Linked DNA regions of Drosophila melanogaster. Changing the gene in region 1 together with any one later gene gives a genetic interaction. Each region holds a gene or a part of one and is shown in the gene's direction. Other genes may lie near its edges.

Region 1 (5,009 bases):
AGCGCTGTGTCCACGCGCTCAGCGAACTGTCACACTGATAGAGGGTGATGATGTTTCGGTCCTCCTGCTGCGCCAGCCACGAGGTTAGACGATACTCGTTGGCTGCCTCAAAGATGTTGGAGCCCAGCTGCTTGCGCACCACATCGGAGGTCAAACGGAGAACGGGTCCTGAGCGAGAAACAGAAGAGAAACGTTACAATTGGCGGTTATATCGGAGATTCAGTGCAGCAATGTGAAACGTTACCGGACTTATCCATCGTGTTCTGAATAAATCTTAGCGGAAAAGAAGTGTAAAAGATTCTATATGCTGAAATCTCGCTATGCCTGGGACTTTGTCCTCTTATTACCTTTTCATAGTTTTTATATTTAAAGTGAACATTTAACTATCATAGAACCTTGTATAGCTACAGAGACATATATATCCCTTTCATTCTTCTTAATCAATGACAAATAATAATGTATAGATAGTACTATTGTCCCACAGATTGGAGCGCTCACTAGCTTTATACGAACCTATGGCACAGAGCGAGTGGTAGAGCTCGTAGGTGAAGGGCGTCATCGGCACCTCGTCGGTGATGGGCACCAGGGCCACCGTGGAGTACTTGTGCGTGACGGGATTGGCCTCGACGGGCGCGCCCGGCGCCCCGCTGCCCGAGCGCGTCTGCATCGAGCCGAGGAAGCGGTGGCTAAGGAAGCTAATCAGCTTGGTCACCACGATGGGGTAGCGCAGCTTGATGGCATTGAACAGGCCCTCGGGCAGCTTGGCCAGCTCCGAGTCGCGCACAGCCATCACCGTCGTGGTGCGCGACGTTTCCGTGATCATTTCAACGATGCCCACAAGATCCCCCTTGCCGTATTCGCCGACGATCTCCTTTTTGCCACCAGGATGCGTGATAACCGAACGCATTCGCCCGCTAAGCACAATATATGTGCTGTCGCTGCTCTCGTCCTGCCGATAGACAGCTCTGCCCGATTCCAGAAAGATCCAGTCCAAGGCATAGTCACACTGCCTCACCAGAGGCGATAGACGGCGTACTACTCCGTTGCCCAGATCCAAAACAATGCGTGGTCGTTGTCGCATGATCCTGTCGAGGAAATAAAGCAATCATAAAGCAATCATTTTACTTCATTATGTAAACGCCCAAACTTACTGGTAAATAGCTGCTCGTCGGATGAAGGCTATTCTGGTGATGCTTCTCGATCGAATGGTATACGCACTGGCCTCTCCCGTTAGCATGGCCAGTCCACCAACGATTTCGCCGGGATGCACAAAGTGAATGAGCATGTCGCTCTTATCCTGCTTGGCCCGCGTGGCATCCTGATTGCTCTGGTAAACAGCCAATGTGCCCGTCATCACAAACCAAACGCAAACATCGTCCGCATTGCCCTCCGTAATCAGGGTGACATTCGGCTCCAGTTCCCTTAACTCTACAAAAGGCTCAATGATGTGGGAATCCTCCTCGGACAGACCCAATTCCTTGCGTAGGCTGTCCACCGCTGAGGATTGCACCAGGCGCATGTCTATCGAGGTTGTCACACCGGGTGTCTGTAGACACGAGTGCGAACCATCGGGTGCCATCAGAGTTATGGAACTGCGACGCGTGGATAGGTTGCCCACCGAATGCTGCTGCTGCTGCTGATGGAATAGATCTGCATTGGGCGCATCGCCATGCACCTCGGTGAACAGATTGGTAGTGCCGTGAAAACTACCATCCGGATTTGGATTCGGATCGGATAGCGTGTGCTCCTCGCGCGAGTGTCGCGATGGCGAGGATGGTGGTCGAGTTACGGTCACCGAGACACCCGATGATCCCGTTCCCGAAACAGCGGACTGCATCAGATTCATCTGGCTGATCACCATGGGCGGCCCATTGGGCGCCTGGCGTGAGGATTGCGAGGTCTGCGAGTTAATCGGTCCACTCATTGTGGATACGCTCTTGTAGCGCATGTGATTCTGCACCAGTTCGGCATTTAGACCGAGGTAGTTGCGCAAAGCGGTGAACAGTACGCGTTGTAGCCGGATCATAATCACCTGGATGACGCGAATCATTACGTCCGGATTGTCCTGGAACACCTCTTCGAATGCCTGCCAAAGCAAGGAGGAAAAAAATAAGAAGTAAGTGAGTGTTCAATGAACATTTAGTTTAGTTAGATAAACTACCTGCATGGGCAGACGAATGACCACCGATTTCTCAATGGCTTTGGCGGTGACCGTCTTATAGTAGCTGGGATTCCCCGACAGGACATCAATAAAGCTGAGCAGCGATGTCACCGACTCGCCCTTCCTGACCGTCTTCAATGATAGTGTGCTGCCATCGGCATTGGAGATGTACACATTGATCATGCCCGATTGAACGATATAGACGCTATCGTCCGGATCGGTTATCTTAAACAAATAGTCGCCGGCCATCAGTTCCAGCAATTGGGTGTGCTTGCAGAGCCGCAAAAAGACCGGCTTCTCGAAATGTCCAAAAATGCGAATGCTCTGGAGCATATAGAGTGCATCGGGCGGAACTCTATCGCTGCCCTCGATTGTCTCCTCCAGATACTCGGCTGGCGGCTCCACGGTGCGCATCTCTAGCGGCATATTATCCCGCCTCAGCTGGAGTATCCTTCTCGCGAAACGCATGACAGCACGACGCTTGTAGCCCTTACCGCTGCTGTACATTTGACCGCTCACGTTCTTCATTTTGCGCAGCATTCGACGGCCGTAGAATAGCATCTTGTCACGCTTCCGGAAACGCAGGCCACGCATATCGCCGGATGAATTGGTTACGGTGCTAATGGAACGGGCAATCTCGTCGCGCAAACGCAAACGTGCCATTCGTTTGAAGTATAAGAACCAGGCTATGAAGAGCAGGCTCATCATTACCAGGGCGAAATACATGTACACCTGCAAAGGAATTTGTATAAGATAGCGCGCAATTAGTTGATTCCTCAGTTCAAAGGCCTTCATTATAATGGCTGTGGAGTTTGGTAGAACTCTTTGCTGCAACCACGTGAAAACTGTCTGATTTCCTCGGAAGTTGAAATCGATGTCATATCGAGCTGGTTCCAAACTTAACATTCTTAATAGAGCTATTAAAGGCTAATATAAAGAAAATCTATATATATATATAAGAAAATGTTTTTTTTTTTTTTTTTTGTTATTCTTGATCTAAAATTGAACTAAAAGTGTTTGAAGTGTTTGAAAGTGTTTTTGAAGTAAAATGAAAGGGTAATCTAACTATGATATAATATGCTTTTGATTCTATATGGTTTTTCACTTTTGCTGAAATGCAAAACAAAAAAATGTGAATTCTTGTACTAATGTGCCAACTCCTTTGCTAAATCACGTTTCTTAATTATTAATTAATTGGTTAATTAGTTTCCCATTCTTCTTCAGCTTATGACATTGAAACGAAAGGATATAAGGGTTTTTGATGTCGTCTCCAATATGATTTTCATTTCGTATTTTCCACGTCGCCCAGTTATTTAGGATGAATTATTTAGCACGAAGACACTTGGAATTTCCCAAAAGCAAGTGTCACGCCCGTGTAATCAAGTGCATCAGCTGTGTTTTGTTGTTATTTTCCCTAAATCTTGTTGTTGCACTCGGCACTTTGACATTGAAACGGCGACGCAACGTCGCTGCACATACATATGTATGTATGTATGTATGTATGTTTGTTTTATTGTTTGTTGCTAGCGGTTCTGAGTGAGTTGTTCTTGTTCGATGCGGTTGTTGTTGTTGCATTTGCTGTTTTTGTTGTGGCAGTAGTTTCTCGGGCAATTTGTTGTTGCTGCTACCCATTTGTTATTGTCTGCAGTTTCCGCATTTGATACTACACAGCGCGAAAAATGTAGCGTTTTCTCGCACTTCATTAAACGTTAATTATAGTGGCGTAGTTTCGATTTCTTTCGATAGAAATAAACATTTTTTTTTAATCTATAAGTTGCACATTTTCTTTCTCACTGTGCACCTTACTGTTTGTCTTTTATTACCCCCAGCAATTATTGTTTGTTTACAGTTTATTTTTACAACAGGTTTGCAAAATGTACAAGAAAAAATGCCATAAATACCAATTGACTCAGTCGGTCTAATTGGAAGCCGAAGCTGCGCCACACACGCACTTATCCAATTGGATTTGCTTTGATCTAATCGGACAGCACACACATACACACACTCGCATAACAACACGATAATGATAAAATTCGCGCAGTCACAAGGCGGCTAAATTGATTTGGCCCCAAGGGGTTAATTGAATTATTGAAAACTGATTTCGTACGCACCCCCCGCCCACGATTGCACGTGCTTCTGATTAGCAATCGGTTATCATAGTTATCAGCTCGGGTGGTTTAGTTTTTCTTTTTTTTTTTTTGCTTGCTTCGGGGTCGCCTGGGTGTCATTATCAATACTATGGTCGTGTGGTGTTATCATGTGGCTACTGTAGTCAGTGGTTTTTGTTTTTCATTCGTTTTGTTTTATGTAAGGCCACAAAACAATTTCGATTTGTGGCGACAAATGAAAACACGGAAGTTTCCCCTTTTCTCTTCCGGTTTTTCTCTTTTCTTATCATTTGGCTGGGTTCTAAGAGAGATTAGAGTCCTGAAATCCACACTTGCCTTAGCCTGTATCGTTCTAAACTTTAGCTGGGGTCTAAACTTCAATCCGCTGATAGGGTTTACTAGAACTAAGTTATGGTAAACTAGTCAGGAACAGCGACTATTTCGATTCTTCTACCTATAAATCTAAGTACTTAACCTATGATGTCTGGCCGACATTTATTCGTCAAGCTAACATTTTGTAAAAATTTTTTTTTAGAAAAATTTCCATAAAGATAATGGGATTACACATTAAAAAATCGCATACAAAATACAGTGGAATTTTCTAACAGGTGTTTGCTCTCAATACTCAAGTGGGTTTTCTTGAATAATGTCTGTTTACTTTACTTTAACTACTTAGGTCTGCTTTATCGCTCATTCTGTGATTTTTATCAGGGGACCTAATCTTTATGGATGTTGTCACA
Region 2 (4,943 bases), 9.3 Mb from region 1:
ATCTGCACACGCTTTTCATGAGTCACACAGCTGGAAAAGCCGGGTGGAAAAGTACGGAGGAAAAGCGCGCAGGTGGAGTTGCTCAATTGCCACTCAAGAAGCTGCAAGCCAGCCCCAATTCATTTACATTCGCCACGCCTGAGTTGAGCCCGTTCTAGGGGCACAAACTCTATATAGTTACATACTATAAAGTATATAGCATAATTGATATTTGGCATGCCTCGAGTACAATAGGCACTTCGTGTGGCAAATGATTTAGAAGGCAATGAGAACTATAAACACTAGGCGGATATTTTGCAACTTAATTGCATATTTTCTATAGAAATTAGCTAAACTTCGATCAAGGCAAATGGAAAACGATGATGAAATTGGCCTTAAGTAGCTGAAATAATTATAAAGACTATTATGTACTATAACAAATATGTTTTACAAAAAATATTTACATATTTAAAATATTTACAAACGTAATTTTAAATAATTCTTTTTATAGTTATAGGATAAAATATATTATAACATCTTCAACAATTCATGAACAGATAAATAATAAAAATATTTTCCAATAGATCAACGTGAAATTATAGTTAAGAGATATGATTAATTCGTTTCAAGTATTGTTTTATGAACCTATATTTGTACTATATATGTGGACTATAAAAGGGCCTATTTCACTGTCGCAATTGTTGGTTAATTTGGCCAATACAATGCCAATGGCCCGATGCCGTCAATTAGCCGAGAATAGAATTGTGAACTCGAATTGCAGAATGGCCAGCAACAGCGGTGATAATACCAACAACTATGGGCTTTAGTTAATATTACTATGCATGCCAGTGTTGTTGTTTCTGTTGTTGCTGACGCGTGCTCAGCCGAGTGAAGCGACGTCGACGTCGACGCCGTCAGAGGGTTGCCCCAGAGCAGAGTTGACATGGCAGTGAGCGTGAAAAATAAATAAATAATACAATCAGAGGGGCAGCTAAGCCCGCGACTCTTCAATATTGAGCAAACGTTGAACGTGCACAGAGAGAAAATGCTAGCCTGAGTCCGGGCAAAGTGGATGTAAATCACCTTTAATAGCTTCAGTCCGAACCTGCTAGAAAGTGATTTAAAATGAGTGAAAAGTAAGATAAAAATTAAAATGTTTAAATACGAAAATAAACTTGCAAATAAAAAGCAGTAAAGTCATACAATAAATCTAAGTTTTAGAAGTAGACCGTTAGTGAATAATTGAACAGTTTTACAAGTTGTCGATCCTGTCACACTTGAAATAAATAACTAAAGAAATAGGTATTAAATGACGCAGAAGTCACTCAAGTTCCTATTTAAAAAGGTAAAATGTTTTTTAAAAGTAAATTTGTTTTCATTTTGTTTTGAAAAATATGGTCATTTAGATTGTAAATATTGTATTTAATTTTTTTTTATTTGCAAAATTACAATTATTACTATTATTAAGAGTATTCATTATAGTTAAGTGTGTTAAAATTAATAAAAAAAAATTTAAGTAGATATTAAATGGGCATTTGCAATATTTGTAGCTGCGTGTAGCTGCGGCAGCAGTGGCATATCGGCAAACAAAGCGGCACCAACAACACCAGCAGCTCCAACAAAACAGCCCATAATCACAATTACAATAACAAAAACATTTACATCAACAATAACAATAACAATAACAGAGAAGAGCAGCAACAGAAAACTCTTAATCATGAGTGGCGTTTGGCTGGCAGCGCAGCTGGCGCAACGTTTTTGCATAGGAATCCGACTGCGGATTTTGAAGTTGTATCTTTTTTGGCCAGCGAACATTTGCGTCGCCGGCGTCACGGAGCGCGGACGCGACAAACGCGACATTGCCGAGCGGAAACCGGAAAACGAGCGGGTTTTCAGAAAATCAGAAACAGAACGCAATCAGTGACATAAAGTCAACTAGTTCGGGAATTTGGGGGAACGAATTTTCGGGGTGGGAACGAACGTACAAATACGTATATAGAACCAAAACCAGAAGAGGAACAAGCCACGAAACGAATCCAATGGCCAGTTGTGCGCCGGTGATCGTGTGGAACGGTGCTCAGTTTACGGCCAGCAGCAGGGAGCTGGAGCAGCTGCGTCGCGATTACGGTCTGGATGCTCGGATGTTGGAGGCGACACTGGTGCCGCGATATAAACGCCACAAGCCGCAGGCAGCGGCACGGAATGATCACGTTCGTGTGACCAAGGAGCAGCAATCGGATTGGATCCTCAAGCAGGATCGCAGCACCAACGTCAGCCAGGTGAACTTCCATCCCTGGGCGGGTGCTCACTTCGACTTGGTGCCCTGGCGTCGCACGCGATCCGCTTTGGATTTGACAGCAGTGGAGGATTACAATCACGGTCTGGTCGATCCCAAATCGCTGAAGGGTCTGGAGAAATTGGAGCTGAGACAGCAGCGCAGGAGGTTACAGCGCGCCAGGTCAACGCATCAGGGTCTCCGGCGATTGGTGCGCGTCCGCTTGATCTTCTCCATCGAGCTGCGGCACAAGCGGATGGAGGTGCTAAGGAAAAGTTCGCTGCCCGTGCGGGTTTTCGAGCAGCGCTTTGCCCTCTCGGAAAACGAGAGCGCCGCCTACGAGCGCATCCTGCTGGATGCCAATGCGGGAGTGGACCAACATGTGGGCTATTTTAGCAAGAGGCAAGTGGTTACATCCAACCGGGAATCCAACGAAGAGTTGGTGGTGGATTTCGCAAGCGAAACGGAGGCGGATGAGAAGGCAGATGAGCAGCCGGAAAAGGAGGAGGCCCAATATGCCACAATAGCTCCAGCGGAAAAAGGAGGCAGTGCAGCAGTGCCCGACAAGGAATCCGGCCAGGTGCCATGCGTCAAGTGCCGCGATATTGCCATCAAATTGAGGTAAAAGAAATCGCTAGAAAAAATAAACAAAAACGGCAAACCAGAACACAAATTAGCTGCAAAAATAGACGAGCGCCAAAATCAATTAGTTACAGTAATATGTCGATAAAGACTACAAACAAGTGCAAATTCTACAATAATATGGGAGTGCAAGAAATATCAATTTATTGACTATGGTTCTATATTTAGTGCTATATTTTTTTAAGTGCTACCCGAAATATTTGATATCAGTGCAACCTTTAAAAAATCTTTGGAAACTCGTATTATTATTTAATGAGTCTGTTGCCACGACAAAATCCGGGATGGGTATATAATTTATAGTTTTTACCCATCGGATTATGTGCGAACTTTTGGATCGAAAGCAGCTTGCAAATTTCCCACAAACTCTCCGGCTTTCCCATTTCATAAAAACCCACAGATCTTCATGAGTATAATTTCTTAAATGATTATTTTCTTCCGTTCTCTGTTCTTTCACTTTTTCCGAACTTTGACCATCCCCTTCCTCTCCCATACATATTTACTTAACTATTTATGTTTTTGTTTTGATGCTATGAACGAAAGGTTAATAGAAACAAACTCTAAAGTCTGTAGATTATTAAACTATTTGTATTGTTTAATACTCACTTAAAGCAGCTTGCCTTGAAAGGTTTATAATTTTGCTTTTTGAATTACAGTATTAACCGCATGGATGCGTTTGCCATGCTCATTAGTATCTTAGCCAAAAATATTTTGTATATAGGAGTATTGAGCAAATACATTTTTTAAATAGCTGCACGAATCAATAAGTCTAATGCGAACAGCCAATTGGAAATGTAAAATTTAGTTGTTTCACCTTTAAAATAAGTATTTACTTTCTGTTTACTTGAGTTATATCACGAGCCAGCGATCAAATGAAGCCAAAAAACAGAGGGCACCTCTTAACACCCTTAAAGATCATAATTTTCTTAACCCCCTTTGCCACTTCAGTTGACCAACTGGCCTGCAATGCTATTGCCAAATAGCTTATTTCACTTTTTTCTTTCTCAGCTAAATGTTTGTGAGTTTTGTCGGATTGTTAGCTTTGTTGGCTATGTTGGCTTTGTGGTTTTCGTGGGTTTCATGGGCTCGGTGGCACCTGCCCTGTTTTGTTGACACCTGCTACCGGCCCGCTTCCATTTTCCATTTGCCATTTGGTGTGTTCGGCGATGCCAGCGTTGATGCAATAAACTGGAAGAAAGTGTCGTCTTCGCGGCTTTCTGTTTCTTTTTGTTGCCACAAGAGGAAAGCAGCGACAAACGAGCAAAGACAAACGAGATCCATCCACAAATGCCCGGTATTTTCGCATTTTAATGCTGGCGGCGCTGCTTCTCAGCTTTCAATTAATGTGTCGCCGTGTGTATTGTTTCTCTTAGCATTATTATTATGATTGTTATTGTTTATTTGTGCCGCGGAAACGGCAATCAGGTGAGTCAGCAGCAGACTTGACCTGGTTTAGTGATTCGGAAAAGGGCACTCAGTGAATCCAAGTGCAGCCCAAGATGCGCACAAAGATGCCATCAAAATTAATAACCATCACTTCCCCCGGCCAATTAATTAATTAAAAGTTGTGCCTAAATGGCTGTCAAGCAAACAATTTAATAACAATGAGCAATTTTCGTGGGCTATATTGAACATGCTACTAGATTTGCAACAAGAGTAAAAAAAAAACAATTAGCTATTAGTAAAGAGAAAAATGAAATAAAAGTGAATTTTAAGGAAATTTGTAACTAATTTGCTTCGCAACAAAGGTAAACTTATATATTATTTAGTGTTCCTAGATATTAGTAAAAAGGAAGGCGTTAAATGAATTTCAATAATATATTAAATATTTAGTTTTAAAATTGTGTTGCACTTTCTTGGCAAGTTCGTGTCTTAAGTCCTTAGCTTAGTGTGTAAGTTTGTGTCTTAAGTCATTTGTTTGGGGTGCAGAAAAGTAGACTGCAATTGGAGATACAAAGCAAGCTGAAAAGTATGCAATATTTTTTCTCTGCTGACCCTTGTCAAAGGAGATCGGGAAATGAGATCCCTCGGTTGCCTTCTATTGAGCCTC
Region 3 (4,638 bases), 3.8 Mb from region 1:
GGAGTATGTAGGCCCGACGGCCAATCAATTCTCAGAAATGAAAACGCCGTCTTCGGTGGGTATTACCGTTGCTGTTGTTCTGCTTCTGCCGCTGGCTCTTCTGATTCTTCTGGCTCTTCACATTTCTCCGCCTTGTTGTTGGCACAATTGTGCGATGCAACACACAGCAACAGCCACATAAACAGAAAAGAATGCGAAGAAATGCAAAATGCAAACACCACGAACCACAACACAACCACTTTCCAAATGCATTCATGATGTTTACCGTTTAAATGCGCCCAGTCTACAAAGAGAGATAGACCCAGCACGTGGGAAAGAGACGGAGAGAGACAGGGAGAACGAGAGAGCGAGTGTGGAGCGAGGAGCAGCCTCTCAAACACTAACAACAAATATGGAGAAAAGCAGCTGCCAAGTAGAAGACCAAGAGGAAGAAGAAGAACGAGGAAAAGAAGAGCCAGCATGGAAACCGTTGCAGATTCTTGGCGTGCAAATGTATGTGTAAGCTTGCCAATTCCGATGTGTGCTAAAGAGAGATAGAGCTTAAGATCGCAAGAGGAAACGGATTTTGTTTTTTTTTTGTTTATTGCTCAAATCAGCTCTGATCAACTTCTGTTCCCATCTTGATTAGTTGTCAACGACGGGCGAAAACTGTTTAACCGTTATGAGCCGGCAGATCGGTTCCCAGACCCAAAACGCTAACTTATGCACCTTGCCCACCTGAAAAGCTGGCTACAATATTTCGCCCTGCATGCGTGCAGTATTTTTCGGATAAGGTATGAAGTTGTTATTAATCGTTATACTTTTCATGAATGGTATCAAGGTGTTTACATTTTAATTATTACTTTTGAAGAGTTTTTTACGTTTCATAATTAAATTATTTTAAATAAATATAAGCTTCAAATTCATCGAGATTTTCTTATAATCCTATTACGTGTTTCATAATGCAATCATTTAATGTATGGGGAACACTTAGGGGTATCCATTAAGTCGAAAGCTTCTCTACGAAACGAGCGCGCCGAAAGTTCAAGTTCAAGTGCGCCAAATTCCCGACGTCAACGTCGGCTGCGCTGCCAGCTTTCCACTGCGTTGCCATTTTCCTGCAGGAGGAGTTTTCAAAATCTCGCGATCTTCTGCTGATTGAGTGGGCGTTCGAATGTATTTTTATTGAAGTGCTAGATGTAAGTTTCTTTTTATTGGTCGTCTAATTGGCAGGCTATTCTATGTCATTAGGCCGCTTGATTAGCGCCACCAACAACAACAACAACAATCGCAACAATAACAACAACAAGTTCTGGCTGAGCTGTGCTCATTTGCGCAGCTGCCAACGCAGGTGTAAAAAGCTCGTTGCGCAGTCGCAGTCGGCGCAGGCAGAGCTACTCTCTCAGTGTGCTTGTGTGTGTGTGTGTGTGTGTGTGCGTGTCTAGCTTTGCCAGCTTCTTGCGCTGCCTCTCTCCCCCTTTCTCTTTTGCTCACTCTTCTGTGCTTGTGCTGCTGCTTCTTCTTCTTCTTGTGCTGCTGCTGCTGTTGCCTCTTTCTTCGGCTGCTGCTGCGGCTGCTGTTCCCGACAGTTACATTACGAGGCCAAAGAAAGTATCGCCTGGCTGGCTCGCGTATTTCGCGTTCGTCGCTCGCCGAGTCCACACGTGCTGCTGCTGCTAACGGTCGTGATCGGTGATCGTGATCCGTGATCCGATGCCCAGTGTGCTGCCCAGTCGCGCCTACAACAAATGTTGATAAAATAAATAAATTTCAAATAAAATAGAAAATCAAATAAGTAACACCACCCGAAGTGCTTACAAGTGTTAGTGCAATTTTTTTTTATTGTTCTTGTTGTTGCCACTGCCTGTTACCGTTACTTGCTTAAGCTTAGCAAGATACCGAGAAAGAACGAGAAGAGAGTTGAGAAGAAACGTTCCCGCGAAGTGAGTGTTTCTTCCATCCAAAAGCAAATAATTTTTTTGTTTTTGTCATATTGCCAATTTGAATTTAGAGTTGTGTGAAATATCCACGATTTGCAACCAGAAACTTATTCTATTCTTTGGAGAAGCCAGTCCACGGCTTTCCAACATCTTAAGTCTATTTCTTTTGCTTCCTGTGAAGACTTTATCCAGGATCTGTCATTCCTGCATCTTATTCGTATTCCTCTCTCCGCAGAGCCAATTGCATTGCTTGAGTTCTGTGAAACATCCAATCTTAGTCTTTCCAGCATCTTCTGCCTCGTCTTCTTGGACCGACAGTGGAGCCGATTAACCAGCTAGACAGCAAATGCAGCCGAGCATTTCATGCTTTCTAATTTTCCCAATTAGCACAAATGCGGCTGGCTTGTTGCCTCCGCTTCTTGTGCGCCCCTGCGTCCACGTCTTTTGCCACTGATTCTTCTGCTGCACCTCTTGCCAGCAGAGTGGTGTCTTCTCAGCCTGGCCAGAATCGAAATCAAAATCAAAGGTATTGCATGCACTGCGCCTTGGCGGCTGGCACTTTCCAAAGTTTTTCCCGTGTGGAAAATATAACAATCATACATAATAATAGTTAGTCATAACAATCACACGTACCAAGAAGACGAGACGCGAGACGCTAGAGTTCCATAAAAAAGAGCAACGTCATCTGGCGGATCGTATTCCCACACGCCCAGCAGGTGCACTATTTATTGACCGAACTCCAAAGCCCCCAATTCTCTAACCCCCCCCCCCCCCACACACCCTGTCCCCGGCCACCCCGCACAACTCGCATACACCTGTCAAATGGCAACTAATCATCAATCAGTCGCCATGAGCACGGACTTCACTCGGACTGAAAAGTCTCTGATGACGATGATGATTCTTCTTTATTTGCGTTACGTGTTAGGCGGTCCGGTTCGGTTTGGTCCGTTCTGTTCCGATTTCACTTCTGTCCTCCTCAGCTTTGTACATTTTTATGCTACACCATTTAGCTATTTTTTTTGTTGTTGTTTGTGCCTCACTCACATTTTAATGCATTTGCCAAACGCAGAGCCGGGATTTCACAAAAGAACGGAAATATAAGGAGTCCAGAGCAGCTGTAACACACTCAGCTGTGTCTTGACCTTCGGAAAGATTACAACTTATCGGTGAGTTACACACATTATCTATATTTTATTGAAACTACTAAACTTAGTGGGTAAGATATAGAATAGAATATAGTTGAGTAAGCTTGCTCTGTAAGGATTCTTAAAAGAAATTGTGGTCACGTTGTATCTTATAAGGCAGTCAACTATTGGTGGTCTTTATCTGGCCATAAAGCTTTTAATATCAGATTCCCCAGCAAACTTAAATCAAAGGATGTAAAGTATGTGCTTATTAATTAAACAAGCCAGACGACGATGTTCGATACAAGCCAGACAGATAATGCGAGGATAAGAGTGCCAAAAGCACGTTTATTAGCATACTGTTTTGACATCTTTTACTGGCCACATTGCCACCATTAAACCGTGTGGCAATGCGACAGGCAGCAAATGAAATGTTATGACAACTTTCGTCACTTGGCACTTGGTTCATTAGTCTGCGAAGAGCAGATAAATAGAACAGATCTTTGCACAGATACGGGGCCAAGTAGATGGAGAAGTGAGTGGTAGCGGTGCAAATGCATTTGATCCGTTTTGGAGCGCATTAAATGCACCGTTAACTACTTCGAATTCTAATTAAGCTGATGCGACAATCCAAAGCACGCCGCTGTGGCACAATAAACTCAATTCCAGGAGGCCAGATTGGCAGCAGCAAACAAACACGCGACTTGGCCATAAATGCAAGTTGCCAGGTTGCAACCAGCAAGTTGCAAGTCTCGTTGTCGCAATTCGCATTCGCATTCGGAATCGCTATTGGGAATCAGTATATCGGACAACGGCAGCTATCTCCACGCTGGACTATCTCTTTGTTTGGCCTCAAATGATTGGCTTTAACCATTATTGGTGGGACCCTAAGCGGCTTTACCTTACCGCCTAACACTTTTCGATTCAAGGTCTGATTCTGTTCCTTGGTTTCTTCATTCATTGTTCCCGTGCCCCTCGACTCCACTCATCGATGACGCATAATTTATGAGCTGCTGCCGCGATCGACCCAGTAAATTCTATTCCCAGTGCTCTTTCACATCCATATACCATATCCACATTTGCAGATACATCGTAGAAGCAGCAGATACATGAATACAGTAGATACAGATACAGAGATACGAAGACGTGTACAATATGCAGATGCGGATACAAGATAAAACCTCGTCGACAAGTCTTTTCTTTCACAGAATGTTAATTTGTATTCAGCCAACATCAAAGATACTTCGGACACTGGAAAATATAGTGTGTGTGTGTGTGTGGTGGGGAGGGGGGTCTATTGAGCTTGAGATGCCGGCGTCTCGTCGTCTAACTGTTCTTTGCCTTTCTACAAACATTCCATAATGAAATGGAAACTTTTCGTGGCACATTTCGGCCTTTAGTGCATCTTTGGCCCAACGAAACGGTTAGAAAAGTGAGAGTGCTGATCGACCCAATGGGGCTCATCAAGCTAAGATATCTCAAACACTTAGGAATGTTGTTGAGTTGAGCTTACAAAAAGAACAATGCGGTCAAAAGTAAATATTCAACTAATACAATCCGTAGAGTTTTCTTACAAGTTTTCCCTCAACTTGGTC

The links. Genes that interact genetically often act in the same process or in processes that back each other up.
Region 2: of sn (region 1) and f, changing one enhances a phenotype caused by changing the other (phenotypic enhancement), as found in Drosophila melanogaster (3 studies listed by BioGRID).
Region 3: of sn (region 1) and m, changing one enhances a phenotype caused by changing the other (phenotypic enhancement), as found in Drosophila melanogaster (one study listed by BioGRID).

What each region holds. Positions count from the first base shown.
Region 1 is NC_004354.4:7,962,057-7,967,065, forward strand, and holds the start of sn (singed), read left to right. Parts: upstream 1-2,086; 5' UTR 2,087-2,116; intron 2,117-2,161; coding exon of another isoform or gene 2,162-2,893; intron 2,894-5,009. Other genes in the region: sws (swiss cheese), read right to left, coding at 1-168, 514-1,085, 1,152-2,086, 2,162-2,893. UniProt on the Drosophila melanogaster protein: Acts as an actin bundling protein. May have a role in the asymmetric organization and/or movement of cytoplasmic components. It has a role in somatic cells during the formation of adult bristles and hairs, and in the female germline during oogenesis.
Region 2 is NC_004354.4:17,257,457-17,262,399, forward strand, and holds the start of f (forked), read left to right. Parts: upstream 1-1,917; 5' UTR 1,918-2,018; coding exon 2,019-2,875; intron 2,876-4,943.
Region 3 is NC_004354.4:11,752,661-11,757,298, forward strand, and holds the start of m (miniature), read left to right. Parts: upstream 1-1,612; 5' UTR 1,613-1,922; intron 1,923-2,988; 5' UTR 2,989-3,085; intron 3,086-4,638.